Linked DNA regions of Notamacropus eugenii. The main gene of each other region encodes a partner of the protein of the gene in region 2 in a complex. Links are inferred from orthologs where the notes say so. Each region holds a gene or a part of one and is shown on either strand. Other genes may lie near its edges.

Region 1 (7,461 bases), on a different chromosome or scaffold from region 2:
CTGTCCTTATCATATGGTTTGAAATAAATCAACCAATATTTATTTAGCACCTACTATGTGTGTTATGAGATATAGCTTTGTAATGGTTTGAGTTGGAAGGATGTGGGTTCAAATTTCAACTCTGACACAAGTTAATGTATGATATTCAACTGAGCCTTTGATGATGCTCTAAAACTGATGCTCTGGTTCTTATCTGCTTCTATAGAATGAGTATTTGTGGATAGAATCACAGGTCTAAACATTGTGGGAGAGTAAAACCCCTTCTCTTCCCTTCCTACTTCTTTGTATGTCTCCCATTTTGTACTCTGGGCTTTGGCCTAACTGGGCAACTTACAGAGGGCTTTGAAAGTTTGCCTTCAGGGGCAGGGAGCAATAGGAAGTATGGGTATCCAGAAATAACTACAGTTACGTCATTCCATAGGTGTATTCGTACCAAGGTATTTATATTCATGATCTGTTTGTATGTGTTATATGGGGGAAGCATCTGATTTTTGGACTTGGTCATTTTATTTTAGTTTATTGGGAACTGCAGCTTGGGTGAACTGACTGAAGAGTTTAAAAATCACTTAATGATTTCTAGATTAATGGACCTCCCAGCTGTCATAATACGGATGTGGTGCTAGCTCTGTTGTCTTGCAGTGGGCTGCTTTCACTTGGAATAATAAATTTGTTGTATAACATGAAACTATACAGTCTACCAATGCTGGGGATGATGCCTACATTTGGTATCTGGAATATTTGGTATGATTTATTGTAATTCAGTGAGAGGACCAAATTAATATCACCTCAAGTTTCAACTGTATTAATTCTACAATGAAATTGATTTTATGCTGTATTGATTTTTATAATTAAATCTATATCTGCCTAGCGCTCCCTTTTTATGTCCTTGAATTGAGCTCAGGAATTCAGTTGTCCCTCTGAGTTAGTTTGAAATTATAATTAAAAGAAAAGTTGTTGTCTCTCATACCAGTTTATTTCCAGGACATCTATTTGCTGTCTTGAAGTTCCACAAATTAACTTGGTGCCATCCCCAAAAGATATGTCATCAGTCCTTGCCTGGCCTTGTGCAATTAGGGGAGTTTTTATCTCTTTCAAGGAGACAGCAAGTCTAGTAGATCCCCTCACAAAGATTACAAGATGGAGATTGGTCCTGTAAAGCAATCTTCATTGTTGCTGTTCATTTCTTTTATGTCTGACACTTTCAGATGCCATTGACAAAGATACTGGAAAGGTATGCTATTTTTATCCAGCTCATTTTACACATGATGAAACTGAGGTAAATAGGGTTAAGTGACTTGTTCAGGGTCACGTAGTAAATGTCTGAGGTTGAATTTTAACTCAGGTCTGCCTGACTCCAGCCCTGGTACTCTATCTGTTGCATCACATAGCTGCCCTTCATTATCAGAAAAGGGGTGACTAGCCACACTTGAATACCAACCCTCTTTTCTTAGTATAGCCAATAGTAATGTTCTACAACTACCAAGACCTTTTCTTTGTTGTATGTCAATAAAAAGGTACCTTCCTCACTGGGATCCCTGGCTTTACTGAGGTTTACTGACCTGCTTTGTTAACAGATATGCACATCACTGCTAATAAACTGATTTTGCTAGGAGTTGTGTACCTCAGCTTGCCTTTCTTGATTTTATTTGCCACATCCACATTACATATTGTAGAAGTGGTGATCATATTCAGTAGCTCCCAGTTTTAAAATGGCCTTATAATGGTACAGTAAATTTGACAAGAGATTTGCTGTTGACCTCCAGAACCACTCTTCATGTCTCATGAACTTCCTTAGATGGAGAGAGCTCATCAGTTAAATTTTTTTTGGAGGAGGAACAATCCTTTGAAATACAATTTTAAAATTTACTTAAGTTGAAAGGTACAAATGATCTTGACTCCTTTGTTATATCAGTCTCTTTTCTCTCAGAAGGAAGGAAAATGAAAATAAATCTTAAATATGGGGAGAAAAAAAAGTAAGGTCATATCTTTCAGGATTAGATAGTGGCATAAAGCTATCACCAGTGTCAGTACTCTTTATTAAGTGTTAACCACATTAGGAATTGCAGAAAACTCCAGATAGAATCTTTGTGGTTCTGATGAAAATGACATTATGTATTACATTTGTACATTAAAATGGTAGCCTGATTTACCAGGAAGAGGGACCAACTTGGAGCCAGAAAACTTGGGCTCAAATTCTCCCCTGGTCACTGACCAGGGATCATGAGCAATTCACTTCTCAGAGCCTCAGTTTCCTCATATATATGGCTACTAGTACTTGTAGCAATGTCTTATAAATGCTATCTAACATTACTATTATCACAACTTAAAGAACATAAGAAAAGCGTTTAAAGGTTTGGGAATTGGCAGCCCTCTTTGGACAGCCCTTCCGCTGATATCTCCTCTTTCTATTTAGATTCATGTCAAGGTAACTGGGTGGTGCAGCGGTACCCTGGTGTCCTCCAGGAATAGCTGTTCTTGTTTTTATGGAGAGGCCAAGAGAAATCAGAGTAGTGTTAGCAGTGCCCCTGGAGAGAAGGGAGAAGAGGCTGCTTAATGCACCCTAAGCACTGGTGCTTGAAGAGAGAAAAAGGTGTGTGTGTGTGTGTGTGTGTGTGTGCGCGTGTGTGCGTGTGCGTGTGTGTGTGTGTGCGTGTGCATGTGTCCCCATATCCCCTAAGACCTCTGAATGAAGGTGTTTGGAGAGTCTTGCCAAGGAAAGGAATGAAGACAGGACAATTAACTATACACAGGCACACGTGGTGCTGATGCACAAAGAAAGCAAAGGACACACACACATACAGCACACACACAACTCTCTCTCTCTCTCTCTCTCTCTCTCTCTCACACACACACACACACACACACACACACACACACCCCTCTCCTCTCCCGTCACAGATTTTTTCCTCTCTCTGTCCCTCCTTGCTCCAGCAGTCCTGCCTCTCAGTGGTTCCGGCCCATAACTCCCCTGGAGGATCCCAGAATAGCCACTACATCCTTTTCATCCTTCAACCCCAGCGAAGAGGACCTGCCGTGGGGGGAGGGTACAACCTCCCCCTCCACCCCCCCCCCCCAAAGTAGAACCAGGACAGTTCCAGCGGTTGGGCGCTGAGGGGCGGTCTGCCTCTGCTTGGGAGGTTAGGTCGGCTCTCCTCCGGCTCCTGCGCCCGGACTGGGAGAGCAGACGAACGGAGCCAGGGGAGCACGAGTTGCGGAGCAAAGAGCCGGGCTGCCGGGCGCTGCCGCAGCTGCTCTCCTCTCTTGGCCGCCTCGGACTCCCCCTGAACCCCGGCTCCTCCTTGGATCCTCCCCTCCACGCCCCTCTTGTGGGAGCCTCGCTCGGAGGGTTCCCCGGAGCAAGCTCGATGGAGCCGCGAGCTCGGCGGCTGCTGCGACTTCTCCTGGTGCTGCTCTGGGGTAAGCAGGGACAAGGGCGTCGGGGAGGGACAAAGGGGCCGGGAGCCGATCGGGCCGAGGGCTCTGACCGTGGCTCCGAGCAAGGTTTCTCGGTGCAGGGAGCCCGCGCCGCCTCCCGCTGGATCCTCTAAGTTTTTCCTGTGAAGTCTTGTCTGCCCGCCAGGAACTGTGTGCCTGGGAAGCCTCGCCCTCCCTCCTTCTGCCCTGCCCTGCCCAGCCCGGGTACAGCGTGGGCTTGAGCCTCTGGGAACGAGAAAGGAGCTGTCCCTGCTGTCCACCCGCGGAACTTGGGCGCGTGGTGCGGCTGGTCAGCAGGACTGCGAAGGGGATCCGGGGGTGGGGCATTCCACTGAGCACCTCTCTCCCTCTCCCTCTCTCCCCCTCCCTCTCCCTCTCCCCCTCCCTCTCCCCCTCCCCCTCCCCCTCCCTCTCCCTCTCTCTCTCTCTCTCTCTCTCTCTCTCTGTCTCTCTCTGTCTCTCTCTGTCTCTGTCTCTGTCTGTCTGTCTGTCTCTGTCTCTCTCTGTCTGTCTGTCTCTGTCTCTCTCTGTCTGTCTGTCTCTGTCTGTCTCTCTGTCTCTGTCTCTCTCTCTGTCTATCTCTCTGTCTGTCTGTCTCTGTCTCTGTCTCTCTCCCCTCTTCCACCTTCTCTTCCCCCTCCCCAGCCCCCCGCCCCAGTCCCTGGCTAAGGAGTCAGAGGAGTACAAGAGCTGGGTTCTTGGCTGGAGGTGGGGTCTCATTGTCCCAGGCGGGGAAGGGGAAGTGGATTTGGGGCCGGGCAGTGGTGGTCTGGGAATTCTCTGGCCAGAAACATGGTATACCTGGGAGGCGGCTGGACTGTAGCCGAGAAGAGGGACCTGTGTTTTAGGATGCAGCGTTGGGTGCATTGCTTTCCTGTTTCATTTGTCTGCTGGATCTTTACTTTTTTGGGGGGATGGGGTAGATGGGGGAAGGAGGTAGGCTGAGAAGGGGAACTGGGAAGATACATGGACTGAGAACGGGTCTGATAAAATTCCAACATCACCTAGAGATGCGCTTCAGTCAAGTCAGTAGGCTTGGGTTAGAGTCCGAACTTTGTTACTGACTACCTGTGTGACCTTGAGCAAGTCATTTCGCTTCTCTCGATATCTTTTTCCTCATCTCTAAAAAGACGAGGTTGCTGCGGATGGTCTCTAGGGTCCCTTTCAGCGTCGAGAATGGCTCACCTATGAAAACCAGAGAGGATTTTATATATTTTTCCGCCTGTGAAGATGGGGGCAGAGGCGGCGGTGGCTACAGTGAGTGCCCAGAGGAAAAGGAATATTAAGAGTTGTGGGAAGGCTGATCTTTGAGGCAAACTGTTCTTCACCCTTTCATGGCTTTTCAGTAACTGGGATAACCGAGGCACAAGAGGCACCTGTTCTAACGGGTCCTAGGGGCCAGGAGTTTCTTCTCTCCCCGAACCCCCTCTCCCCGATCTCTCCTCTTCCCCCTCCTTCCTTCACCTCTCTCCCTCAACTCTCACCCCTCCCCCCCCCCCCCCCCGCCCCCACTGGGGTTTTGGACTAGGCTGCGGCTTGGGCTCATTCTTTTTTTCCCCCGGCTAAGGAGTGAGATCTCATATCTAACACTGCAGTTTTTGTGGCAGGGACTGTCTTGTTTAAATGTTGTACCTCTAGCTTCCCCTCCCTCTCCCTCTATCCTCTGCTTACTAGTACAGTGTTCTGTGTACAGAGGCCATGATGAATATTTGTTGAATTGAATTGTGTTGGATTCCCTAGATTGAAAATGGAAGACATGGAGGAAAAAGGAGATGAGAATTAGGCGCTGCGGCAAGGGTTTAATTGGGATCTCTCAGAACTGAACTGATTGTGTGAGAAAACCTATTTGTCACAGTTGCGTATTAGTAGGTTTTTGTTGCTATTGATCTTTTTTGGTGGAGAGGAGCTGGTGGTGGTGCTGTGAATTGGATCAGAAACCCTCACTGAGGAAGAATAAGGCCAGAAATCTGTAAAAGTAAAAATACACGTCTAAGGTGATATGGAAGGAAGGATCCGTTATCCCCTAGAGTGGTTCCTCACTCTGTCCTGTCCTCCCCCAATCCAACTGTTTTTTTCTTATTTCTGTATCTGAAGCTTTCTTGGTAAGGTGATGGCATGACTTCCATTCAGTTTGCACAGGCTTGGCCGTAAATTGATACCATTAGATGTCTTGTAGGTTAACGCATTTTTTTTTTTTTAATGATAACATTAAAATGTTTTAACTACCCAAAAGAAGTTATACTAGAGTTTTGATTTCATATGTCCTTTAACCATAAGGAACCTAGAAATGTTTTTGGTGTTTGTGATGTGCTTTATTTTGAGTGTTAAAAGTGGTGTGGTAAGGATAGTTTGTATAGACATGTTTTTAAGCTGGCTTTGGGTGTGCATGGGTGTGTGAATTTTGTGTGTACCTGCCTCTTTGGCTTGAGGGCTAGATGGAAAGTGAAGGAAAGGAAACTTCCACTCCCTGGTTTTAAGGGAATAGCTCACAGCAGAAGAGCTCAGTTTTGTGCTTTTACTGTTACAATTCCCACATTCTCCACTAACCATTCAAAGGAGGTATCAGCTTCTCTTTGGATCCTGAAAGTGGTTATTTTGGTAAGTTACCTTCACGGATCTGGAGTTACAAAGTGTGCACCCCACCCTCCACGTGTGCTGATTGCATCATTAACTCTAATGCTTGCCTAGTCCAGATCTTTTACTTTAGCACAGGGAAGCTGAAACTGGAGCACATACTGATGCTGGAAAACTAGAAAAGGCTTATTCCATTGAATGTGATTTACTAATTGATCTCTCTGCCCCCATTAGGATGCATTAATAAAAGGAATGCTTTTGGTTTTCAAGCAGTTTGTTGTTCCCTCTTCCCACCTCTTTATTATTTTTCTTGGGCAATTCCCAGAGATTAACAGTAAGCTATGGCAGCTAGGTGGCACAGAGTGCCAGGCCTGAAGTTAGGAAGGCTCATCTTTATGAGTTCAAATCTGACCTCAGACACTTACTAGTTGTATGACCTTGGGCAGATCACTTAACCCCATTTGCCCCACTTTCCTCATCTGTAAAATGAGTTGAAGAAGGAAATGGCAAACCACTCTAGGATCTTTGCCAGAAAAACCCCAAGTGGGGTCACAGAGAGTTAGGATGTGACTGAAAAAATGACTGAGCTACAACAGCAAACAATGTGCTATCTCACTCTGTGGATTTGTAGCAGTTGAGGAGTGAGTATCTTGCCCAATATCCTTAGGTAAAATGAATATTAAGGAGCAGTGCCATAGGACGAGTGTTGTACAATTAGGTGAGTGACTGGGTGCGTGACATTTTAGTGCAGTTTCCCAGCTTGGTTACAACGTTAATGTAAAGTGACTTGATTGAGACAGCTTTGTGGGGATATTCTTGTAGTTTTTCACAACAATTTATTTAGGGTAACTTATAATATTGAAAATAGAATTTGCTTGTTTTTCAACTATTTTAGTAGGATTATTTCAGCAGAATGTAAACTCCTTGAGGTCAGGGACTATTTTTCTTCTTTGTCCTTGTGTTCCTAATACTTGGTATGGTGCCTTGGACATAATAAATGCTAATTTGCATGGTTTGTATTTCAATTGCAGGATTCTTAGAGCTGGAAGAGACTTGAAAAGTGATTTAGTTCAGTTCTGTTATTTTATAGATGAGCTAACTGGGACCAAAAAGTGACTTACCCAAGTCATACTGCTAAATTTTGGCAGAGCTGATGCTGGAACCCAGACCTGTTGGCTCCTACTTCATGCTCTGCCGATGATATCCCTACCTCCTTCTTCCATGGTGATCATCCTTCCTTATTTATTTTTATTTCTGCACATCTCACTTTACATCTATTTTTTTCCATTTATTGCTTGCCTGACACTGTAGTCTGGAAGTCATTGTTTAAAACAAAAGAAGTGAATGTAACACACACCAATTTATTTTTAGGGTCTGTATGTGCTTTTTTCAGCTTTTAGCAGCAAAGAGCATTCGTATTTTTAATGTATTTCATCCATTTAATAATATAAC
Region 2 (7,941 bases):
ATTTCACACAAAGTACTGTTCTTGAGTCCAACCCCACATAACTCTAGGCACTAGTCAAAGAGAAATCTAGGGTAATTTCTTACAAACATTCTTGAAATAAGTAATCTACCTGTGTCACATTACTAGTACCATATCATTCTTTCTCTGAGAATGCAATTTTGTATTGTTGTCCATATTTTAAGATGCTTACCACTGTGAGAATTTGTGGCAGAGAAAGCTACTGCGTATAGTTAGGCTCTTTACATAAGAATCATCACTCTCATCTGAATAGAAAGCTGCTTTTGTGTATAACAGATAGATATCTACATGAGTATGCACATCTGAAAGAACTCATACATGATTGTCCATATATTCTACATGAAACATACATATATTTCTCTAAAATCACATGTACACATATATGTACGCCTGTATATACATGACTCCATATGTCATTTAACCCCTTTCAGCTTCAATTTCCTCATTTGTAACATGGAAATAATAATGTTATGTACCTCATAAGTTGTTGTGAGGATGCCATGAGATTAAAAAATGAAGAAATTCTTAAACCTTAAAGTACTATTATTATTAAACATATCTGATTGAAGAAACTACACCATAATTAAAAAGGGTGCTGGGCTTACAGTCTGGAAGCTCAGTTTCAGGGTTTAGTGCTGAAATAAACTAGTTATATGACCCCACACAAGTTAATCTTTCTGAACTTAAATTTCTTCATAGGCAACATGGGTATAATAAAAAAATAGCTAGCATTTATATAACATTTTCAAAGTTTGTAAAATGCTTTGCATATGTTATTTCATTTGCTCTTCACAAAACTCCTATGAAGTAGGTGCCAGTATATATACTTTGCAGATGGGAACACTGAGGCAGAGGGAGATTGAATGACAGGACTGAGGTCATTGATCTATTAACTTCCTGAGACAGGATTTGAATGAATACAGGTCTTCCTGACTCTGAGTCCAGTGTGCTCTATCCACTGTACCTGTCTCGTGTTATCCATCTTTCAAAGTGGTTGTAGGAAAAGTACTTTGTAAATTTCCTAATGCTCTACAAATGTGAGTTCCTATTACTAGGTTTGCAGTTCTAATTGTTACTTGCACTGTTGGCAACTACATTATCAGCCATGACTAGTTAGTTGCTTTTCCTCTTCCAGGAATCATCCCATCTCTGGATGATATCTTCCACTCCACTTTTTCTTCACTTCACAGTTTGTACCTTGGGCTCAGTTTGTGCTTAAAAGAATTTCTTTTACCCATTTTGTTGAAATCATTTTATAGCTCCAAATCAGATATCTGGTTGTAATCTACATGTGACTCCTTAGCAGAACTGTGTCACAGACAATGCTGTTTTGTTGCTAATTGTGGAAAGTGTGCAAGAACCTGGTTATTAGATTCACTTTTTGACATCCAGCAAACTTATAGATGACATTTAGAAAACTCTTCATGAATCTGAAGGAAATGTCATTTCATCTCAAAATTCTATTAGTCAACTTTATGATTGTAGGTTCTTACCAATAAATAGAAAACTAAACTAGAAAACTCCTTAGGATTTTACTATTAGAGAACTACATATATGATAGAGGCAGGGTTGTTCTGGAACCAACTCATACTGGCTTGCAAGAGCCAATTGTTAAATTTTCAGTGTGAGTGTTTGCATTCAGCAAACACTGTAAATCAAGCATGATTTACTGTTTTGTGGATTGCCTACACTTAAGAAAGTCAGAAAGAAAATTATAATAAATGCAGCATAAAGTATTTAAAACTACTTTGTAAACTAGTAATACAGTATATAACACGTTTCAAAGGGAAGACTGTAAAGGCAAAATTTCTCTGACTCTATTTAGAAATCATGATCTAGGGTATGAATGTATTATCAGAATTCATATGGAGTTGGAGTTGAATTACAGAATTAGCAGAGAGGAATGCAGCTAATCTTTCTTCACTTCCCGGTAATATTTGAGTTAGGCACTGGTTTGTTTTCTATCCCTTCTAGAAACTTAAAAGAGTGAGGTGTGTGTGGGCATGACTGTATATGTGTGTGTGTGTGTGTGTGTGTGTGTGTGTGTGTTTTCCTGCAGATCCAGTTATTCAATCTTTACTAGCACTTTCTTGGGTGTAGAGGAAAAAGCCACAAGAAGATTGAGGTTTCAATGAGTGTTCCACTCTTAGTTTCTCAATAAAAGCATGTTACTTTACCTCCTTGAAGACCATTTTCCATATCACTAAAATGGAGATGATAATCCCTACCAACCTCATAGGCACTTTGTTTGAATCAAATGAGACTTTTGTTTGTAAAAGAATTTTGTAAACTGTAAAGTGTCTTCCCACCCCAAAAGAAGATTTTTTAAATGACATCTTTCCATTATTTCTTTCCTTTTTCATGTCCTGAAGAAATGTTACTTTTATTCAATTGCCCAACCCATGGATGCAAAGGATGTCAAAGCCAGAAGAAACCTTTGATATCATTTAGTCCAATTGCCTCTTTTATAAACTGAAGAATAGGAAGCCATGAGAAGTTACATAATTTCATCAGTGGAAACTGGAATGAGAACCCATATCTTTAGATCCCATGTTTTTTTTATCTTAATCGAAAATTCTTCCCAATTCTGTGTATAAAGTCTAACCAACACTCTCCACTCTCTGTGGAGTCTGTAACTATATCCTCTTTCCCCTAGAGATTGAAAGGCTGCTTTCATGAGAACTTGCTTTGCTTGCTGTGGTTGTCCCCTAACAGACAAATGGAGAACAGCAGAAGTAACCATTTGTTCCTAAATACCACACTCTAAAAGCTCCCCTTTAGAATATATGCTATTTTTCAGTGCTCAAAACTGTTGTAATTCAGTTTCTAATAGTTATCTCTTCCATGACTTGTAATTTTTAGGGATCATTGTATGCCCAGCTTCTTACATGTACTTCCTTTTATATATTTAGCTCCATTAAGATGAACTATGTTTATACATGCATATGTGTAAATCAACTTGGGTCAAAAGATCATAAGAGTTGGAGTTACTGTTGACACTGCACAAGATCCATTTCAGTTCCTTGTATATAGATTCCTGGGCATCTTTTAGCAATTCAGTTCTTCATGATTTATGTGCAGTGACTGATGTTTCACAGGATGCCATCTATCTAAGACACATGGCATTTAAAACTCTTGAATTGTCCCTTATCTTGGAAAGCTCACCTAGCCCTCAGTTCTTCCCATCTCAAATTACATTAGGACAAATCTACCACTCCACATCTTAAAATGGCCTGTTATTCATCTTTGAACTTAACTCAATTCATGGAATAGGACCTTTAGAAATCCTCTAGTTCAATCACTTTTATTTTATAAAGACTATGAAATGAAAAGAGAAAAACTAAGGCTCAGTAAGTTCAAGTCATTTTCAAGTTCCAGTAATTACAATGACATGAATGTTCTGACTCACAGATTTAACATATTTTCCATTTATAGCCACATTTTTTTTTCTCGAACTTTTCAATGTTTGCAAAATATCTGGGAAAATTGTTTTACTTTTTGATAAAGCTTTTTAAAAATACACTTAAGAAAATTCTAGATAATTGAATCAAATGTTGGAAATGCTGGATTCAAATCAAAGCAATATTTTGTTTAGGCAAAATTAGATATTTTAATTTTAAAATATATTTAAAAAGCTATTGGTATGCTGTTGTATTGTAGAATGTACTAATTAAGAAAATGGTGGTCTAATGAATTAGATACTTTGTGAGAATGGATCTTTTCCCACTGAAGTTTTTTCATTTTTTTTTCAAGTCACTACATTTCATATATTAATCAAATATTTACATGTATACAGTTACCAACATTTAGAAACTAAGTACCCATAATCAGGTTTGGGCTGAATTCATATAATGCCAGCTACTTCAATGAAAATGAAAATTCTGGCTACAAAACTCTTAGTCAAATCAATCGGAAATACCTTGGATGATTGATTGACTTTTTCACTCTTCCCCAGCATGTTTGATATAAAGTCGTATAAACAAAAAGTAAGAAAGAGAGAGAAAGAAATAAAAGTTCTCTACTACTTGCCCTCTTTTCATTTTGTTCTGATTTATGTAGTTGTAAGTTTAAACAACATGCCATTTTTATTTATTGTTATTTTTGGGAGGTGATGATATATTAATTCAAACATAGAGCTACTGATAAGCATAGATTTCAGCCCCAGATTCCCTAGGCCTACCTTCACATTTTCTCTAGCTAAAGATTTCCATGTAGGCTTGGACTGTGGCAAATGTAAGCCATCTGTAATCCTTTGACACAAAGATCCATGAGGTCAGGAGCTGAGCCTGTCATTTGGGTATACCCCATGCGGTTAGGGAACTGCCCTGGCACCTGTGAGTACTCAGTAACTGCTTGTTAACTGACTGATAAATTCAGTCTGGAGTTTGGAGAATGACAGTGTACTATTTGCAAACTATCCTTCCTCTAAATTATTTAAAACTAGTTCCTTTTAAACTAGTCATAAATATAAAGTGTTTCAAAGGGAAGATCATAAAGGCAAAATTTCTCTGGCTCTCTCTATAAAGCATGGTCTGGGACATGCATGTATTATCAGAATTCATATGGGCTGGAGTCAGATTACAGAATTAGCATAGAGGAATGCAGCTAATCTTTCTCATTGTTCACTTCGGAGTTAAATCTAAGTTAAGACTGGTTTATTTTCTCGCCTTTCTGGAAACTCTTTAAAGTGTTGTATTTCCCATGGTGAGCATTCATATGGATAGGCACCCCAAACCCACGTGCCTAATTCAGCTCCTTTCAATACAGTATTATTTTCAGATCAACTTCACTCAAGGCTCTGATGTATCTGCTTGACAAGTCCTAACAGAACACAGAGAAGATGCAAGCCAGCCGGTCTTTGCTGGTAACAATGGATTCATGACTTTAGGAACTGTTTCTGCTCAGGCTGCTTCTTGCTCCTGCCTGAGAAGAGAGGAGCACAGCTTTCCTGGGGTGTGCTATTTGAACAAGAAAGTAATCTAACACTAAATGCAGGCGGGGTCAGAGTGATGTAACAGGAAGCTCTGATGTTTCCCTTCTGCTGCAGATCACTTACAATCTGACAACACTTCCAATCCTACTCAGAACAAGCCCTCTCACCACAGTAGAGCTGTGGAACCCCTTCCATTAAGATCACCAGGCTCTGATAACTGGATTACACCCAGACTGCAGGATCAAATTGCAAGTCTTTTGCTGTTTCCCCACCTTGCCTGAGGGGGAGAATCTCTTCTGCAGAATCTCAGAAAAATCAAATTGCATCCAAGACTATTTTACAAAAAATTCCTTAGGAACTGCGCTGGGTGAGTACACATTAAAGCATATCTAAGAATTGTAAATGATAACTGTCATTTGACTTGAGATTGTTTCATGGGCTTTAGTTACTGGCATTGGGAGAAGCTGGAAACATTCTCATTGATTTGTGTATGTTAGATAAGCTATAGAGTGCGACAGCAAAAGTAGAAATCTTGTTAATTACTCCTGTCATTTAGACTAGTATTCCAGATTTTGGGGGGAGCAAGAAATAAAAGTTGAATGACTTGAAAGGAGCTCTTCTGGGAATAGATCTCCAAAACTAGCTATGGGTAATGCTATATTTTCTTATAGTCCAAATATTTAAAAACAAGCTTTATTCTTGCCAGCTGGAAAATATTAAAGCAATTGTTTCAGGAAAAAAAAAGGTCTCTAAACTCTCTCAGTACAATTGGGACTTTTAGGAAAGAGGAAGGATAAATGAAAAACTCCATTAGCTCTCTAGTCCTGAGATCTCCTCTCACTGGCACTGTTATTGAACAGGCAATTAAGGGCCAAAACACTAGCTTTCCATTGAGCACATTTGTTTGTACTTGCAGTTTACCTCAACTCACATACATCTTCTTAACCAATTCTAATATCATCAATTCATTTTCGTGTGTTTTCAAGCTATCCCTTCATAAGACTCCAAATGTTTGCATTAGAGTAGATTATAAAGTGGGATTCTTGGTGGAAAGTCATTGAAAGATTGGAAAAAGGGCCAGGAGGGAATATACTTTAAGCTCTGAAGTTATGTACTATTTTATTTTTAAAGTTAATTCATAGCAAATACAGTATTTCTTCCTATTGTGCTTCTTATAGTCTGCTGACTTACTTGTTTCTCTGTGCATGTGTTTTGGGAGGGGTTGAGAGAAATGGAGGCATGGGCATATTCAGAAAAAGAAAAAAATACATATATATGTACACACACATAAAAGGGAGGTACTATTGATTAATAAGAATTTACATAAGTACAAACAGAATAACTACAAGGTCCATATTCACTACTGGTTATGGTGATAATTAATTTTCTGAGTGAATTAATGATTGTTCAGACAAGACAAATCATCCTAATGAATTCAACAATTTGATATTCACATAATTTGTAAGTAAAGAGAATTCATTGATTGTTAAATATTATTATTTATTTTCAGGAAATTAGATATCAAAGTTGTGCTTGATTGATGTTAAAGATGCCACTACTGATCAAAACGGGTTTTGATTTCAATGACATTATGCCTCTTTTTTTTCTTTTTGCTTCCGTTATGGGCATCCTGGACTTAATCACCCATAATTTTACCATATTACAAGGGACTACTTTGTCATCCGGTATAATTCCCTGGCAGTTTTGCCTTGGACATTCAATACCACAGATGCTTCTAAATAACTTTTCACAAGAGTACAGCTACATGATTTTCTTGCTCTTAATTTATATATTACTTATTCATAGATCCTTTGACCATGAGAGGTATACAAATTTTTTAAAAATGGCAGGAGAGGGAGATTCTAGGTTACTTTTGAAAGCCTCTTAAAGTCTGGCATGGGAATTAGGAAGGACCTAGTTGAAATCATACATATTTCAGTTTTGATTTTGCTTAGAATAGATCATAAAAAATCTATATCTAATGATACTTAAAGATTATATCCCTCTCTTTGGGAAATTGTGTTTAACAAAATATTTCACATTATAACAACAAAGAGTGAAGACATGGATTAAAAAGTGACAAATACCTAATTAATTGTTGGGAGGGGGAAAAGTATCCAATATTATTTTCACTAAATATCTATAAATTGAAATGACATAAATTTGATCTCTTAAAATAACCATACAAAAAGAACCAAGCAATACTGATCTTCTAGAGCTAAAGATTGAAGCAAGAATTAAAATAACTTGGACCACACACATATGCTTTTGCTTACACACACATACACACACATACACACATACATACACACACACACACACTGCTCTAAAATTGTTTCCTTTAAAAATCAATAACTTGCATAAATCTATGTATGATTATGATACTGAGGTAATTATTTTACTTTCTTAAATATATTTCTTCCTCATGCTATCTCCCGCATTGACTGCGTGGAGTCATCATGTATGCCTAAGCTAGGTTTACACATGTACAATAAAATGGAAAATTTAGGCAGTGCAATGATATGGATGGTTTAAGCCAAACCTCTCACCTAAAATATTTAAACTATTAAATAAAAATGTATTACTGAGATAATTGCTCAACTTTTCCTTCATTTTCCAATATATTTCTTGACTTGTGAAAATGCTGGGATTTGTTTATTCTATTTCTCAACTGCACTATCCTGATAAGAAATAGTGATGCTAAGTAAAATGCAGAAGATAAAAAGTACATTATTTTATATCTATTAACTTGAATTAGTTTTGGAGTTACAGAAAACGATATAAAACTGAATTGTAAGCATGTAAACTCTAATCCATAATTTCAAAAAACATCCTTTATTTCACTAGCCCAAATTTCTGGTCCCAATATAGACATTTTTAGAGCATATTCACTTTGCAATTTTCCCAACAGAAGCTTCCTCAGCTTTTGTTAAGGTATATTAAAGGTTACCAAAAGTTCTAGAATAATATTATTCAAAGTTGTGTAATAC
Region 3 (7,078 bases), on a different chromosome or scaffold from region 2:
ATACCTACTGTTTTTGAAATGCTTGAAATAACAGGTTTAAGCTAATACTTATTTTTAGCTCCCCTAGATCCTTTCTTCCCTCTTCTTAGTGGGGGGTGGGTGGGAAGAATTAAATGCACATACTTGTTGCAACTTGTCCCCACTGATTTGTCATCTGTACTGTTGAGCCTTTGGGGTCTTACGCTCCAAGGCTCTTTTCTTGGCTAATTAGAGTAAGTCAATTCAACAAGCATTTATTGTTTGTTGAAGGAAGTCCTTTGGTGGGCACTAATGGAAACAAAAATAACATTTAGATAAAATTCAGAGTTCTGCTCTCATAGAATTTATCACTTAAATAGAAATATTTTTCCAACCCCACCCATCTGAGTGGGGGAGGAAAATCTACTTGGGATTTCTTCTTAAATGTGCTCTGATGAGTGTGTGTGTATATCTATCTATCTATAGATAGATAGATAGATATATCGGTATATCTATAGATAGATAGATATCTATATCTATCTATCTATCTACCTATCTATCTACCTATCTATCTATACATACTAGTGACTGGCTCTTATCTGACTCTGAAAAACATTCTTTGGGTTCCAACTTTTCCTTACTTCTTACCTCTTTCTTGCTTCTTTCCACTTTCCAAGCGCTGGGAAGTGTCAGGTAAGACTTTCTGTTCAATGGGAATTTACAGCCAGAGAAACCTGAATGGATGAAAGCAAGTACATGTGAAAAAGAAAGATCTGAATTCTACCAAGGAATATTTCAGTTGGGATGTGACCAGAAGAAAAACAAAACAAAACAAAACTGTGTATCATAGATTCTCTAGAACAGGAGGGATACGACGTGGTTAAACTCTTTGAATGTCCACAGAGGACTAGATCCCACATGGTGCGCCTGTTTTGCCAAGGTAAATTCCAGAGCGTTTTGGAAAACACGTGCTTCACTCCAGAAGGCAGCGGGAGCTCCCGCAAACAAACCGGGCAGAGCTGGTTCTCTCTTTGGAGCAGGAAAGCATCTGAATTAGAGGACGGGGGGCAGGAGGGGGTCGGGCGGGGCGGCTGAAGTGTTTTCCTAGCTTCAGATCTAACATCCCAGGAGCAGCCAAGTGCACCTGGACTGATAAGAGGCGTGCCAAGTTTCACTTTTGCTGTTTGGCATTCCCGGACGACCGACCCCCTGCTGGGGAGCGGGACGGGAAGCGAGTGCCTGCTCTGAGCCTCAACTGGAGCCTGGCTCTCTCTTGGCGGGAAAGGAAGGGGAAGCTCTCACTTAAAAGCATAATTTATCCTAAAAGATCTCATTCCCCGCCTTCTCTCCCCCACTCCCATCTCCCACTCCTTCCCTGCTCGGGGTCTGGGGGCAGAGTAATAGCTTACATCCTTATACCCTTCTAATTAAAAAGCAGTTTCTTCCAACCAGGTCAAGCAGTGTTTATCCCCATTTTATTGACGAGGAAACTGATACCTGAAAAGATGGAATGACTAGCCCAGGTTGACCCAGCTCGTTTTAGATCTGGGACTGTTCCAACTGCGAGAGAGCTCACACCACCTCTGGCCACAGACCTCTGTGGCACTTGCTCTAGGTCGAGGCGAACTCGATGCTCTCGCCCACTCCCTTGGGTGGAGGAGTTGGAAGCGAGTGAAGAGTTCTGGACCGCTGAGTGACGTTGGGAGATGGGCTTTTGGCAGCTCAACCCTCCGGGTTACGGACTCCTTACCAGCAAAGCAAAGGAGCAATTTCCTTGGAATGTGGGGATAAAACCACCCTTCTCCCTGGGACAGTCGAGTTGTCCTTTGATTTCACTATATGCAGACACCCAGTTCCCCAAAGGAAAGGTTTCCTTTCCCAAGGGTGACGACAGAGCAGAGACGACGGAAGCGGACAAATGAAAGTAACCTGTTCTGGAGCAATGAGACAAACAGAGGAAAATAGGGGCGGGAAAATACACAGGGAACTGACAGAGATTTGGGGTCAATCGCTATTCTTAGGCTCGAATCCTGGCTAGGCACCTTTGCCGCCTCAGCTTCAGTGTCCTCGATAAAATAGGTGGAGGCTAGGGGAAGACGATGATTTCGAAGGTGTGTACCTGCTCTGACATTCTATAATTAGTTCTATAAACGTTTATTAAAGTCTACATACCAGTTATTGTGCTAGGCTCTGGGCACTGTGATGAGAAAGAAGAGAGTGGGGAGGGAGGAAGAGAAATAGGAGAGACACAGAGGCAGAGAGAGAGGGAAAGCATGAAGGATACAGACAAAGGAAGTGAGAGATATTTTTAAAAGGGAGGAAGATGAGCAAAGACACAGAAGCTAAAGGGATGAGTCCGCCTAACACATAGTAGGCGGTCAATAAATATTTGAAGAGTGAGTGTTGTCCTTGCCCCACCTGCACACATAGGCGTTTCTGAGCCTGGGCCAAGTTAATGAGTCGACATCCAGAGAGCCCTCGCCTCGGGTGCACCAGGGAAGCCACTCTACCATAGCTGCGGCGGGCATCCAGAGGCTGCCGCTGCACCTAGCTAGCTCGGGAGGGCCAGGATTTGGGGGACATCCCAACCTTTCCACAGCCACAGCAAATCTTGCTCCGGGTACAAATGACTCACTCCAAGGTGATTCCTCTGACGCAACCTCCATCCAGCTGGCCTTTCCATTCACACCTTAGAAACAAGGGACATGAAAGCGGGTCCGGAAAGCGACTGTCACAAGCTAGCTGGCCACTCTCCTGGAAGGGTCGGGAGTGGCCCGGGCTCCTGGAGCTCTGGACCACAGAGGCACCTGTTCAACCAGAGGGCTCGGAAGCCCTGATGGGCAGGCAGCCAGAGACAGGAGGTGAGGAGTCGGGAACTCCTATGTAAAGCACCTGCAGAAGACAGAAATAAAGCCAAGTGAGGAATCAGGAGTACACAAGTATATAAATAAGACTTTAGAGTTCACAGACAAGAGGAGGATGCCAGTATTAATATCACCACCATTTTCCTGACGAGGAAAGTAGGGACTCCGAGAGGTGAATGACTTGCCTAAGGTCACAGGGCTGCGAAGTCCCGGAGCTAGCCCTGAAGCCCGGTCTTCTTTTCCATTACATCACTAGGCAACCTTTAAAGGTTTTATAAAGACTTACAGTGGTCTGCAAAAGTACTCAACTCCCTGGCCACGATCTTCGCGTCCTCACAAAGACCCAGCCCCAGTCCACAGGGAGAGGTCCTCGCCCAGGCAGTGGGCTTTTTGCTTTACTGCCCATCTCACCCTTACCTCGGGGGGAAGGCTTTGGAGTTCCAACAGAAGTCAGGAATTCTTGGCCAGAGGCCAACCAGTTCCTTCCTAAACGTTCGAAAAGCAGAACAATGACACCACAAATTTAACACATACAAAGGCAGGGAGTTTGTTCTCTTGCTCTTGGATTTACACACCGGAGTGAAACATCTGAAATTTCAACAAGCTCTTTCCTTAGAAAAATCCCCTACCCAAGCTTTCCTGATCTCGCACCCCTTGCCAAACCCTCTGGTCTTTTCCAGAACTCTGGTGTCTCGGACATTTGCTAGACAGTGTCTGGGAAACCTCCCTCACTCCTATCCCCTCCACTCATTACCATGCCTGAGGCCGAATTCAAGTGCTTCCCAAGACGGCTGCTTCCTAGAGCAGGAGCCTTGCAGGGAGGAGGAAAGTGAGACCCAAGAAGAGTCCCAGTGACCTTGAACCCTCGACTCCTGTGGACTAGCCCAGTCGCCTTGGCTGGAAGCTAGGATCTCCCCGGGACATCAGAGGAGATGATTTGGTGGGGAGAGAGTGGGCACGCTTAAGCTCCGCAGCCATCCATGATAATTGTTACAGCCTGGGTGCTGTGGACGCTCTGGGTGAACGTCCCCTTGCTGCCCACGGTACCCTAACCCAGGGTTCGCCTTACACTGGGGGGCCCTGAGGCAGGAAACGTATGCGTGTTGGCGCCTTCGACGCAGGGCGCAGAAGGAAGAGAGGAAAATGATTGCACTAACAGCAGCAGCAGCGCCAGCGGCGTCCGCTGTGGAACCCCCAGCAAGCCCCGCCCCGCTGAGCTCCTATAAAAGTAGGAGGCAAGCGCAGGACACTTCAGAGGTTTAACTGGGGACCTAAAGACTTCCTGCTGCTCCTGCGCCTTCTCTTCGCCTCTTATCTCCGACTCTTAATAGAACTTCTGTCGCCGAGGGTGGGGATCTTTGACTCTCTCATTGGATTGATTACCTTCAGCAGCAGGTAAGGGGGCCTTCGAGCTTGGAGTGGTGGCAGTGGAGGTTGGGTAGAGGGAATGGGCTTTAGTGATCTCCAAAGTCACTGATCAGAAAACTCAGGTCCCTGCACCGACTTTCCCTGTGCTTGCTTTCCGACAACCCTGCTGAGGCTGCTGGAGCCGAGATCTGGGCGGGAGAGCGGGGAGGGGGGGGGGGGTAAAGAGAGGGGAGGGGTGACTGAATCTTCGCCTAGTCCAAGTGAGGCATGCCCTGCGAATGAGCTCCGGAGGCTACTCTTAGCTCGGGATCCCTCCCAAGAGAACGTCTTCCTCTTCTATCTGTTAAGAATAAGCTCCTAGAAAAGTTTCAAAGTGAGTCCTAAGCTCAGAATTTAGGGAGTGCTGCCGGGTGGGGTGAGGGAACCCCCCCCCCCCCCCCACTCGGCCTGTCAGTTCAGACGGCTGACGGATGCAAAGCCTGCAGGCGGCTTATCTGCCCTGGCGCGATAAGCGATTGAGCAAACAAAAGCGGGGACTAGGTTAGGACGGTTCTGGGGCCACTGGTCTGCGGCGCTCAGCCAGCTGGAGCTGAGCTAGAGCTGCTGGGGGGGTGAGGGAAGGGGCTAGAGCCGAAGCCAGGAGCAGAGTCAGACACTGACTTTTTCGGTTCTCTCTTTCATCCAGGGTGACCGGATCGCCGCCGGAATGCAGCTGGTGCCAGTGGCCCTAATTTACCTGGGCTCCTTCGCCTTCCTGGGGGCGGACACTGCACGACTAGATTTGGCTTCAGAGTTCAGAAAAAAGTAAGTTCCGACCATGTTCTCTAGCCAAGTAGTTGGGTTCAGACACTCCGGAGCGAGGAATCCTCCGTTAATTCAGGGTACGGGAGAAAAGGGTACGGTGTTGATGCTACCACTCACCAGTGGGAGAGGGCTCTGCGATTCGTTGCATATGGTGCTAATGGTGTGGCTGTTGGTTACTTTCCAGATGGAACAAATGGGCTCTGAGCAGAGGAAAGAGGGAATTGCGTGTGCCGGGCAATCCCCTCGCTAGCCCAGCCGAAGTGAAGGCTGGTCCTGTCCAGACATTTATTCGGCCCCAGGACGTGAAGGGTGCTTCCCGCAGTCCACAGCCCAGGTAAGTTTGTGGGTCCCGCTTGGGGAATCCCTTTCATCTCCGAAGGTGCTACTCCCCGCCTCCGTGGCCCCAACTCGGGTCCAGAGCTGAGGAAGGGCTTGGGCTAAGAAAAGGTGCCTCGACGGAGCAACATAGAGTCCCTGTTCCTCTCCGAGGCTCCCCTAGTTAGGCTAAGATTCCGGTCTAACTCATCCAGATCTTAGGGACTCTACGGGTTGTCTAACTCCTCTCTGTCCCTCCTGTCCCGCAGCAGTCCGGACGCAGCCCGCATACGCGTCAAGCGATACCGCCAGAGCATGAACAGTTTCCCTCACTTCCAGAGCCTACGCATTGGCTGCCGTTTTGGGACGTGCACCCTGCAAAACCTGGCGCACCAGATCTATCAGCTCACGGACAAAGATAAGGACAATTCGGCGCCCCCCAACAAAATCAGCCCCCAGGGCTACGGGCGTCGGCGTCGGCGCTCGCTCGCCGAGGGCTCGTCTGCCCGGACACTCTCCTCCTTCTCTTTGTCCTCCTCCTCCCTCAGACGGCTACGGCAGCAATAGCGGCAGCCGCGCCTCGGGCCGCTCAGCGAGCCAACCTGCGTTGCGAGCCGATTGCGCCCGGCGCCACTTCGAGGGGCCGCCTTCCTCTGGACGTAGGGGGCGGGAGCCGCGGCGAAACCAAAGCACTGCACCCAATGGGCGCCGGCCGGCCGGCCTCGGTGCGAGCGGGGAGGGGGCCAGTTCTGTGCGATGGAGAACTCGGACGCAGGAGGCATAAAGTCCACTAGAGGAGCTCCCGCAGTCTCCCTCATCCCTCTCTTTGGGGAGGAATGGATCCTCTCCAAGTGGGGACTGACCGCGGTCGCATTTTGCCTTCACGCCCTTTGCTTCACTCGGACCCCAGTCCGCATCCAAGCTGCAGAGACCCAGGCCGGGCCTAGGGTCCCCTGAGGAATCATTCAGAGAAGGCTAGGGCGGGGGGAAAGATGCCCGGGACTTACGTGTGAAGGACGAAGATCTGGGAAAGTTGGACTTAGCGAAGAGGCCCACACTGCGTCTGCCGGCTTCTCCCCGCGGTCGGGCCGGGGTCTCGGAACTACTTGATCTTTTCATAATAGAGGAAAAGTGCAATGGGGCTTTTAAAAATGCATTTTAATAGAGAGGTAACTATCTGATATTTATCTTGCTGTCAGGTTTTTTTTTTTTTGTAAATTCAGAGTTATTTTTGTACGTTATATATTGTATTGTATTGTATAAGGGCATTTTAAAATAGTGTGTATCTCCCTCCCCTTGTCTTAATTTTAATATGAGAATGTCACAGATTGATCTCAGCCTGGTATAACCCTCTCACAGTCATATTGGGGGTGTGTATGAGATGAGTGAGTGTGTTGAGAGAGAAAGTGTGAGTGTATGGCATTCTGTCCTGGTGGAAAAAGAAAATTCCTCGTCACTGTATATTATATTTTCTTAAAGGGGGTGGTGATAAGGAAACTGGCAAAGCTAATAAACAGTTACAATACTGACTACGTGGTTCTGGACTCAATTATCTTTGAAGAGAACTGGACTCTAATGGGTGGTAGTGGAGGGTTTAGAGATCCTCTTCCCAACTCCCCCTTCCGTTGACTAGTTAGAAATATTTTTTCCTGGTACACTCCTTGGCTTTCTCGGGGTTTGGCCCTGAACTATTGCGGGGTCAAGTGACACGCTGCCCCAAAAGCCTCATTTTTCCCAACCCAGAAATCATAATGACTTATAGGATCACA
Region 4 (6,890 bases), on a different chromosome or scaffold from region 2:
TCAGTATTAACGACTATCCCCTTTGGATGCATGAGGAAGCTTAGCCTCAGAGGAAAGTCACTTGGCCAGGGTCCCAGATATGGGAGATCCCAGACATAGGGGTCCCTGTGGTGAGCTCTGGGGTCTTGATGGGGCTGTAGGGGCAGGGTTGATGCTCAGCCATAACTGTGGGGACTCTTGGGGTTCATAGGGGCTGAGTCCTGCCTCCCTGACTGTCCCATGAGCTGCCTCAGGCGATGGCTGAGGTTCTGCACCTGGCAGGTGCTCAGTACACAGCCCACTCTCAAGAGCTGGGCGTGGTGACGCCTGGTGTGCCTGCGACCCCTGCCACTGCCCCTGCTCTTGCCCCTGCCCCTGCGGCCCTGCAGCCTTCCGTGGCGATGGCGATGATGGGGTGGGTGTCGAGGGCGGTACCCCCCGAGGGGCTCCAGGTGGGGCCCTGGCTGGCCCACAAGAGCCACTGGCCCCACATTCATCACAGCCTGGTATTCGAGGTCTTGGGGGGATAGCCGGTCTGGGGGTTCCCTGCAGAGGAAACACAGGGAAGAGTGAACCTGAGCCCCCAACCCCCTCACACTGCCAGACATAAATGGGGACTACCTGCTGGGATGCCCTCTGGCCCTGGGGACACTGCCGGGAAAAGACCACAGCCCCTGGAAACCCATCCTGGACACCAGTCATCAGGGTCACATGGTCCATTAACCCTCATCTACCCTGGGCAAAGGGCAACTCCCAGGCCTCTGTGGGTCACTGCTCCCTGGAATGTGGCTGATGGCGGTAATGACCCCACCCAGTCCTGAGTGCTGGGCAGCTGCCACCTGAACAGGGGGAGAAGCCAAACCCAGCTTCAGTCTTCCTCACACTCACCTGAATCTGCAGCCTCAGGGTTTACTTCCTCCTCCCTTGGGCTCAGGGCCCATGACATCCCCCCCATCTCTGGGCCTGTGTCTCCATCTCAGCTGATCCTGTCTTCTCTGGACTCAGGGCCCATGACCTCCTCTGTGCAGACTGCCGCCCTCTTTTGCGACCTCCATATCAGAGGCAGCATTGGTCCAGAGGAAAGAGAGCCAACCTTGCAGTCAGAGGACCTAAGATCAAGCCCTAGCTCTGACCCCTTGCTAGTTTTGTGACCCTGCTGCCTCTCTCTGGGCCTCAGTTTCCTTCCCTGTAAAACAGGGAAACTAATTCTTAGGGGGGTCCTTTGCAGGGTTATTATGAGAATCATGCTTTGTAAATCTCAAGGCAGATTTCTCTTGCCCCTTCCTCCCCGTTCAGTCAGAAAGTTGGGGGGGGGGGGCGTGAAGGGTGGATTGGACTTAGGCCCTTGGCCCCAGGGGGAGTGGGGCCTGGGGAGATTCCATATAGCCCCAGATCTCCAGACTCAAATAGTCTGACCCTGGTTTAGCTGGCAGCAATTTTGGAGGGGTTTCCTGGATGGGAGGGTTACTCTCCTTCAGAAGTGGGGGCAGTGTGCTACCATGCAAAGGTCTGGAGCAAGTCAGGGGACATGGGTTCAAATTCTGTCTCTGATGCTCACTGTTTGCGTGAGCTGGGGCAAGTCAGTTCATCTCCCCGGACCTCTGAGGTTCCCTTTAGCTTTAGGTGGCTAGAGGTAGCTGGGCAGGGCAGTGAGTAGAACACTGGACCTTCAATCAGGAAGCCATGAATTCAAATCCTGACTCATACACTTACTGATTGTGTGACCCTGAGCAAGTCACTTAACCTCTGTCTGCCTCAGTTTTCCCCTCTATAAAATGGAATTAATATCATCTCCCTTCCAGGAGGGTAATGAAGCCCAAATGCGGCCTCTTAAAGCTGGCCATTATTACGATTCCCTTAGGCTCCCTTCTGGTGATGCTGGCCTGTGCAAGGCCACTTCCCAATTCCTGGTCCCCAACTCCCAATCCTAGCGGTCAACTCCTTCTCCCACCTGGACTGAGCCCAGGCATATCTGAGCGAAGAGACCACGGCTCCCCCTGGTGGACTGACCAGTCATTAACCCCTTTTGTGCTGCGGGAGAGAGAGCCCCATTCCTAAGCTGGCCCCTCCCTGCTCCGCCCCCAGCCCCCAAAGCTCTGGGTGGGGGATCGGAGGTCCACGGGTCAGAGTGGGCCTAGCTCTGAGTGAGTGAAGGGGCTCTGAACTAGGTTCTGGGATCTGGACCCCTGGAGGTGATCTGGGACCCTGAAGGAGGAGAGAAGTGGTGGAGATGAGGGTAGGGTCCTCGTCTCCGGAGTCGGGCTGTTGTAGAAGTCAGAGGGCTGGGTCTGGACTGGGCGGGGGTGGATGGGTGGGGGGCAGTTTTCGTACGAGAAGAGATGACTGGTGACCGAGGGGGCGGACCCTGAGACCCGAGGGGGCCACGTCGCACTCACCTGGGCCGAGCCAACAGCGGGTGAGGTCCCGGGCGCCGGGACAGCGTGCCCGGGAGCAGGAGGCTCAGGAGGCTGATGCAACCGAGGGTGACGGGTAGGAGCCAGCCCATGGCAGGCTGGGGCTGCGCGGGGCTCCCGCGGTCCGGGACTAGGGCTGGAGGGATGAAGGCTGCCAATGAACCCCTAGGCGCGTCCCTGGGGGCCCCCAGGCTCTTACACAGACCTGGAGGCCCCGGGGCTCCTGCCCCCTCGGACCTTCCCACCTCCTGGCCCGGGCCTGCTTCCACCAGACCCCCTCCCCCCCGCCTCCGCCCAAGTTCTCGGGACCTTTCCCCTCCGCCCCCCACCTAATGCGGGCGCTCAGTGAGTTCTCCTGTCTGTCCGCACGAGGTCCCGTCGGTCCTTCTCAGTCTGTCCGTCCCGCGGTGAATGCGGGTGAGTGGGGCAGCAGGTGGAGAGATTCAGGCCCAGAGATTCAGGGGTCGGGTTCGCTCGGGGGCTTCTGGTGGACGTCGGCGCAGTTACCGTCCGCGGTCTGGACGCCAGCCGGCTAGCCGCTGTCCGTGGCTGGCCACCGTCTGTCAGCTGGCCGCGGTACGGTCAGTCCTGAGCTGGGCTGGTGGAGCCGGGCAGAGCTAGCTTCTTCTCAGGTTAAATATTCCCCTTCGGGCCGGGGCGGGGCTGGCCAGCTCTCCACCCCTTGGCCCTCCCCGCCCCCACAGCTCTTCTGGCCCCAGTGGCTAGGGGCCTGAATCTCCTCCCCAACTCCGGTCCTGAGCTAGGGGCTCAAGGGTGGGGAAGGTAGCCAGAGCCCGCGTCTCCCTTAGGTTCTGGCCACTGGCAGGGCCATCGGGGGGACTAGCTGGTTATAGACAGCCCCAAACACACCAGGCTCTTTCTTGGCTCTGACTATGCAGTCTGTAGTTCAGGGCAAGAGGGTGGACTTCGAGCCACAAGATCTGAGTTCAAATGTGACCTCCTACACTCCTGGAGAAACATGTCCTGTCTCCCCTTTTTGCCTCAGTTTCCCAGTTATGATCTCCAAAGGTAACTTTCCACTGGAAATTCTATAATTCCCTCTGCTCCTCCCTAGAATTTTTCATATAGTACCAGCTCCTTCCTCAAATAGCCTCCCTCAGGACCTGGAAGAAGAAAGCTGCCTTGACTGCCCCAGCCCCCAGTCACTAGGGACTAACTGAATCCTCCTCATCCCATTCAGAACCAGGCTGTTCTTGTCATGGTAAACAGGGGGCCACCTGGGGCTGGAATGTTTCCATGTTGCCCAATATCGGGGCTTGAGGGAGGGGGTAAGGTACTTGGACTGGACAGGACCCTTACCAGAACAAAGGGTTAAGCTAAATCACTGTTTGGGATGGTCGGAGTCCTTGTAGGACCTCTCAGACTTCCCGTCTGAGCACCAGGAATCCCATTCCTTGCTGGGAAGCCCCTGGAGATTGGCCAGACTCCCATTTGGGGGTAATGGAGGGAGCCACAGGCATGGCTGTGAGGTCTTGTGGCTGGGCTACTATCCCTTGTTTGTGCGTCCACTGAGGGCCCACAGCTACCCTGATTGGAAGACCTAGGGATTCAGGGGCACACCTAGAGGTGCTGGAGGAGGCTGGGAGTAGAGGCTGGAGGGGCAGGGTTGGGGACTTGGGGAATCGGAGGGAAATGGAATTGGAGGAAAATGGGAAGCAGAGAGCTTGAGTTGTTGGAGATTCAGAGGAGCAGAGCTTGGGGTTCCGGGAGCCAGGACTGAGGGGGATTAGATCTAGGGGGCCACAGGTTGGAGTTGGGGGAGGCAGGATTGAAGATTTAGGTTAGGTCTAAGGAGTCTGGTCACTGACATGTTGGACGTGCTCTGTCTGGCATATGGACCTCTCAGGTGCACAGGAAGAGGTCTAGCTTGGAGCTTGGCTTGAAGGGTTAGTGTTCCAGAGTGAGGACACTGCCTAGTGTCCCTGCTGTGGTCAGGGCTACCCACTGTGGTCACCCTATGAGGGCCAAGGCACACCTAACCCTCCATCCTTCCTTCCCTCCCTCTCTCTCTCCCTCCCTCCTCCTGCCTGAGGAACGTGCCCTGAGACACGAAGGGGAGGCTCCCAGCCGGGCACTGCCCCACTCTGCCTCCACACGCCCAGTCCTGCTCCCAAAGCAACAGGGGGGAGGGGGAGGAGAGACTGAGCCCGAGGTGCAATTCTAGTCTGGGGAGCTGTGGGCACAGTTAGGTCACCTGTGGACCCAGTGTCCCACCATATCCCCACTTACCTCCAGTGCAAAGGAGTGCCTTTTGGCTCCAGGAGTCCTCTGCCATCTGTCTGTCTGTCTTAAGCTGGTGGCTCCCATAGGCCATAGCCTAACAGTCAGTCAGTCAGCGATGATGGAGAGCACCCATCAGGAGAGGAGATAGAGGCCAAGGGAAGCCCTGGGTTTCAACAGGAAACAGCTCCTGGGGGTCCTAGGAATGGTCAGAGGGGGAGTTCTGGCCTGGGAAGGAGACAGCACCTGTTTGAGGGAGGCAATGTGGCCGTGAGGAAACTCCCATAAAGAGAGAAAGCAATCAAGTGGACTCCCTAATCTGAGGGACCCCAGACTTGCCCTCAGGGATCTCCCAAGTTTGAAGGAGGACACAACCTCCTTCAGGTGGCTACAAATAGACTCCAGAAATCCGAGTTACTAGATTGGAGAGCCCCAGGATAGCTGTGACACTTCCAGTGTCCTCTCCTGTAAAGGACTTCACTGTGTGTCTGCCTACCCATCCTCCACAGCAGAGGAAAGACAGATGCTGCCAGGCCTTGCCCCTAGCCCTGGAAGCAGAAGGCTTAGCCTTGAGATCATCCTGGGTACTTCTGGTCCACACCTTTCCATAGGTCCTCCAGAGAAGACCCAAACCAACCTTTATGAAGAATGATCACATTTTAAAAGTAGGCAACCAGCTACAACACATGGTCACTGAGTGCCTGCTACGTGTAAGACTTGCTCTGGGAGCCAAGGACACAAAGATGAGACTGTAATGGCTTTGCACTTGAGGAGCTCACCACAAGGAAATGATCGGTTGTGGCATAAGGCAGCCAGTCCTAAACAATGGGAGGAAGGGCAGTCACCAGCCTGGGATGGTGCCCTGGAGGATTTTCCAGAAGGTGAACAGGGCATTACCTGGTACCCAGCTGGACGTAATCAGCAGGGGACAGTGGGTCCATTGTCACCATCTTCGTCATTGTCATAATCAGTAACACTAGATACTGACATGTATTATACACTAACTTTACTACAACTATGTACTATACAACATATGTATACTATAATATATAATAAATGGTATATATAACTATATACTGTTACTGTAGGCCAAGTATATTACTATATACTAACCAGCTACTAAGTATATTACTATATGTTATATTCTAAGTAGTTATTTAGTATCTGTTAATTACTAGGTACTTACTATGGACTATATTACTATACTGTATACTAATACTATAACCGTAACACTCAACATGGTTAATACAGAAATATATTTTACATGACTTACATGTATAATCTATTTCAAGCTGCTTCCCTTCTGAAAGGGAGAGGGGAAGAAATTGAAACTCAAAATTTTTAAAAATGAATGTTAAAAAAATTTTACATGTAATTGGGAGATATTTAATAAAATAAATTTAAAAAATTTTTAATTAACAAAAATAATAATAACACTCAAATTATCCCCGAATAGATGAAGACTGTCCAGCCTGTGAGAGGTGGTTGGACCACAGCCAGCTGACTTTGTTCTCCACAATCTATAGAGATAGCTAGATGGCGCCACAGTGGAGAGATCACTGGGCCTGGAGTCAGGGAGACCTGAGTGCCAATCTGACCTCAGACACTTACTAGATCTGTGACCTTGGGCAAGTCACTTAACCCCTATCTGCCTCAGTTTCCTCAGCTGCAAAATAGGGATTATACTTCACAGTTGTGAGGATCAAACAAGACAATGTTTGTAAAGTACTCTGTGAACATTAAAGAGCTATGATGATGATAAGGTAGCAGCTTGAAATCCATAACAGCACTTCTCAGTTTCCCAAATGCCATCCAGCCCACCCTCTCTTCCAACCTGATTCTAGACCCACCTCATTGTTCAGCTGTGTATCTGCTTTATTTGACCTCACAGTTTAGGTTAGAACAAAGATCCAAGTTTGAGGATTGACAGAAAAATTGGTACTTGCTAGAACAAGCATGGACTTTATTACTCTGCAACAAAGCAAGCAAGCCTCCCCCTCCCTCCCCCCACCCTGTTCCCAAAGACATAAATGTGCTTGACTGAGAATGGGTAATCGATGCAGCTCCTTAGCTAACCCAAATTCTTGGGGTCCTTGGTTATTAACTCAAACACTTCTCCAGTTTCTGGTCCTGAGTAGGAAAACTCTCCATCCCAAGTCTGATAGTGATAAATGAGTGACTTGGAGAATTTCCCCTCCATACCTGAGTCTGAAGAGAAATGAACCCTCCCATATATAGCACCAATTACCTGTCCTC

What was found.
Region 1: the proteins of CALCRL (region 2) and RAMP3 are in contact, whole or in part, in a cryo-EM structure (PDB 6UVA), measured with the Homo sapiens proteins. The link is inferred for Notamacropus eugenii from reciprocal best matches to the Homo sapiens genes CALCRL and RAMP3. Residues at the interface, in NP_001258680.1 of Homo sapiens: Arg38, Asn39, Met42, Thr43, Gln45, Tyr46, Glu47, Tyr49, Gln50, Met53, Trp69, Asp70, Ser117, Arg119, Thr120, Phe228, Leu231, Ile235, His238, Thr239, Val243, Val245, Lys249, Gln250, His251, Trp254, Tyr255, Phe257, Leu258, Phe262; in NP_005847.1 of Homo sapiens: Trp56, Cys57, Leu59, Phe62, Ile63, Tyr66, Glu67, Thr70, Cys82, Tyr83, Pro85, Asn86, Pro87, Leu88, Gln90, Ile93, Thr94, His97, Arg98, Cys104, Thr105, Val106, Asp107, Arg108, His110, Leu111, Glu112, Asp113, Pro114, Val118.
Region 3: the proteins of CALCRL (region 2) and ADM are in contact, whole or in part, in a cryo-EM structure (PDB 6UUS), measured with the Homo sapiens proteins. The link is inferred for Notamacropus eugenii from reciprocal best matches to the Homo sapiens genes CALCRL and ADM. Residues at the interface, in NP_001258680.1 of Homo sapiens: Val36, Thr37, Asp70, Gly71, Trp72, Asp90, Tyr91, Phe92, Gln93, Asp94, Phe95, Asp96, Pro97, His114, Ser117, Thr120, Trp121, Thr122, Tyr124, Thr125, Asn128, Val135, Ala138, Leu139, Leu141, Phe142, Thr145, Thr191, Leu195, Ala199; in NP_001115.1 of Homo sapiens: Cys110, Arg111, Phe112, Gly113, Thr114, Cys115, Thr116, Val117, Gln118, Lys119, Leu120, Ala121, His122, Gln123, Ile124, Tyr125, Gln126, Phe127, Thr128, Asp129, Lys130, Asp131, Lys132, Asp133, Asn134, Ala136, Pro137, Lys140, Ser142, Pro143.
Region 4: the proteins of CALCRL (region 2) and ADM2 are in contact, whole or in part, in a cryo-EM structure (PDB 6UVA), measured with the Homo sapiens proteins. The link is inferred for Notamacropus eugenii from reciprocal best matches to the Homo sapiens genes CALCRL and ADM2. Residues at the interface, in NP_001258680.1 of Homo sapiens: Val36, Thr37, Lys40, Asp70, Gly71, Trp72, Asp90, Tyr91, Phe92, Gln93, Asp94, Phe95, Asp96, Pro97, Ser98, His114, Ala116, Ser117, Thr120, Trp121, Thr122, Tyr124, Thr125, Asn128, Thr131, Lys134, Val135, Ala138, Leu139, Leu141; in NP_001240774.1 of Homo sapiens: Leu106, Arg107, Val108, Gly109, Cys110, Val111, Leu112, Gly113, Thr114, Cys115, Gln116, Val117, Gln118, Asn119, Leu120, Ser121, His122, Arg123, Leu124, Trp125, Gln126, Leu127, Met128, Gly129, Pro130, Ala131, Gly132, Arg133, Gln134, Asp135.

What each region holds. Positions count from the first base shown.
Region 1 is NC_092872.1:430,837-438,297, reverse strand, and holds the start of RAMP3 (receptor activity-modifying protein 3), read left to right. Parts: upstream 1-4,444; 5' UTR 4,445-4,580; coding exon 4,581-4,692; intron 4,693-7,461. UniProt on the Homo sapiens protein: Accessory protein that interacts with and modulates the function of G-protein coupled receptors including calcitonin gene-related peptide type 1 receptor (CALCRL), calcitonin receptor (CALCR) and G-protein coupled estrogen receptor 1 (GPER1).
Region 2 is NC_092876.1:253,854,214-253,862,154, reverse strand, and holds the start of CALCRL (calcitonin gene-related peptide type 1 receptor), read left to right. Parts: upstream 1-4,926; 5' UTR 4,927-5,318; intron 5,319-7,941. UniProt on the Homo sapiens protein: G protein-coupled receptor which specificity is determined by its interaction with receptor-activity-modifying proteins (RAMPs). Together with RAMP1, form the receptor complex for calcitonin-gene-related peptides CALCA/CGRP1 and CALCB/CGRP2.
Region 3 is NC_092877.1:35,155,812-35,162,889, reverse strand, and holds ADM (pro-adrenomedullin), read left to right. Parts: upstream 1-4,066; 5' UTR 4,067-4,217; intron 4,218-4,875; 5' UTR 4,876-4,896; coding exon 4,897-4,994; intron 4,995-5,178; coding exon 5,179-5,328; intron 5,329-5,578; coding exon 5,579-5,876; 3' UTR 5,877-6,838; downstream 6,839-7,078. UniProt on the Homo sapiens protein: Adrenomedullin/ADM and proadrenomedullin N-20 terminal peptide/PAMP are peptide hormones that act as potent hypotensive and vasodilatator agents. Numerous actions have been reported most related to the physiologic control of fluid and electrolyte homeostasis.
Region 4 is NC_092874.1:303,814,727-303,821,616, forward strand, and holds the start of ADM2 (protein ADM2), read right to left. Parts: upstream 3,003-6,890; 5' UTR 2,723-3,002; intron 2,530-2,722; 5' UTR 2,486-2,529; coding exon 2,376-2,485; intron 526-2,375; coding exon 156-525; 3' UTR 1-155. UniProt on the Homo sapiens protein: Intermedin/ADM2 is a peptide hormone that plays a role as physiological regulator of gastrointestinal and cardiovascular bioactivities mediated by the CALCRL-RAMPs receptor complexes.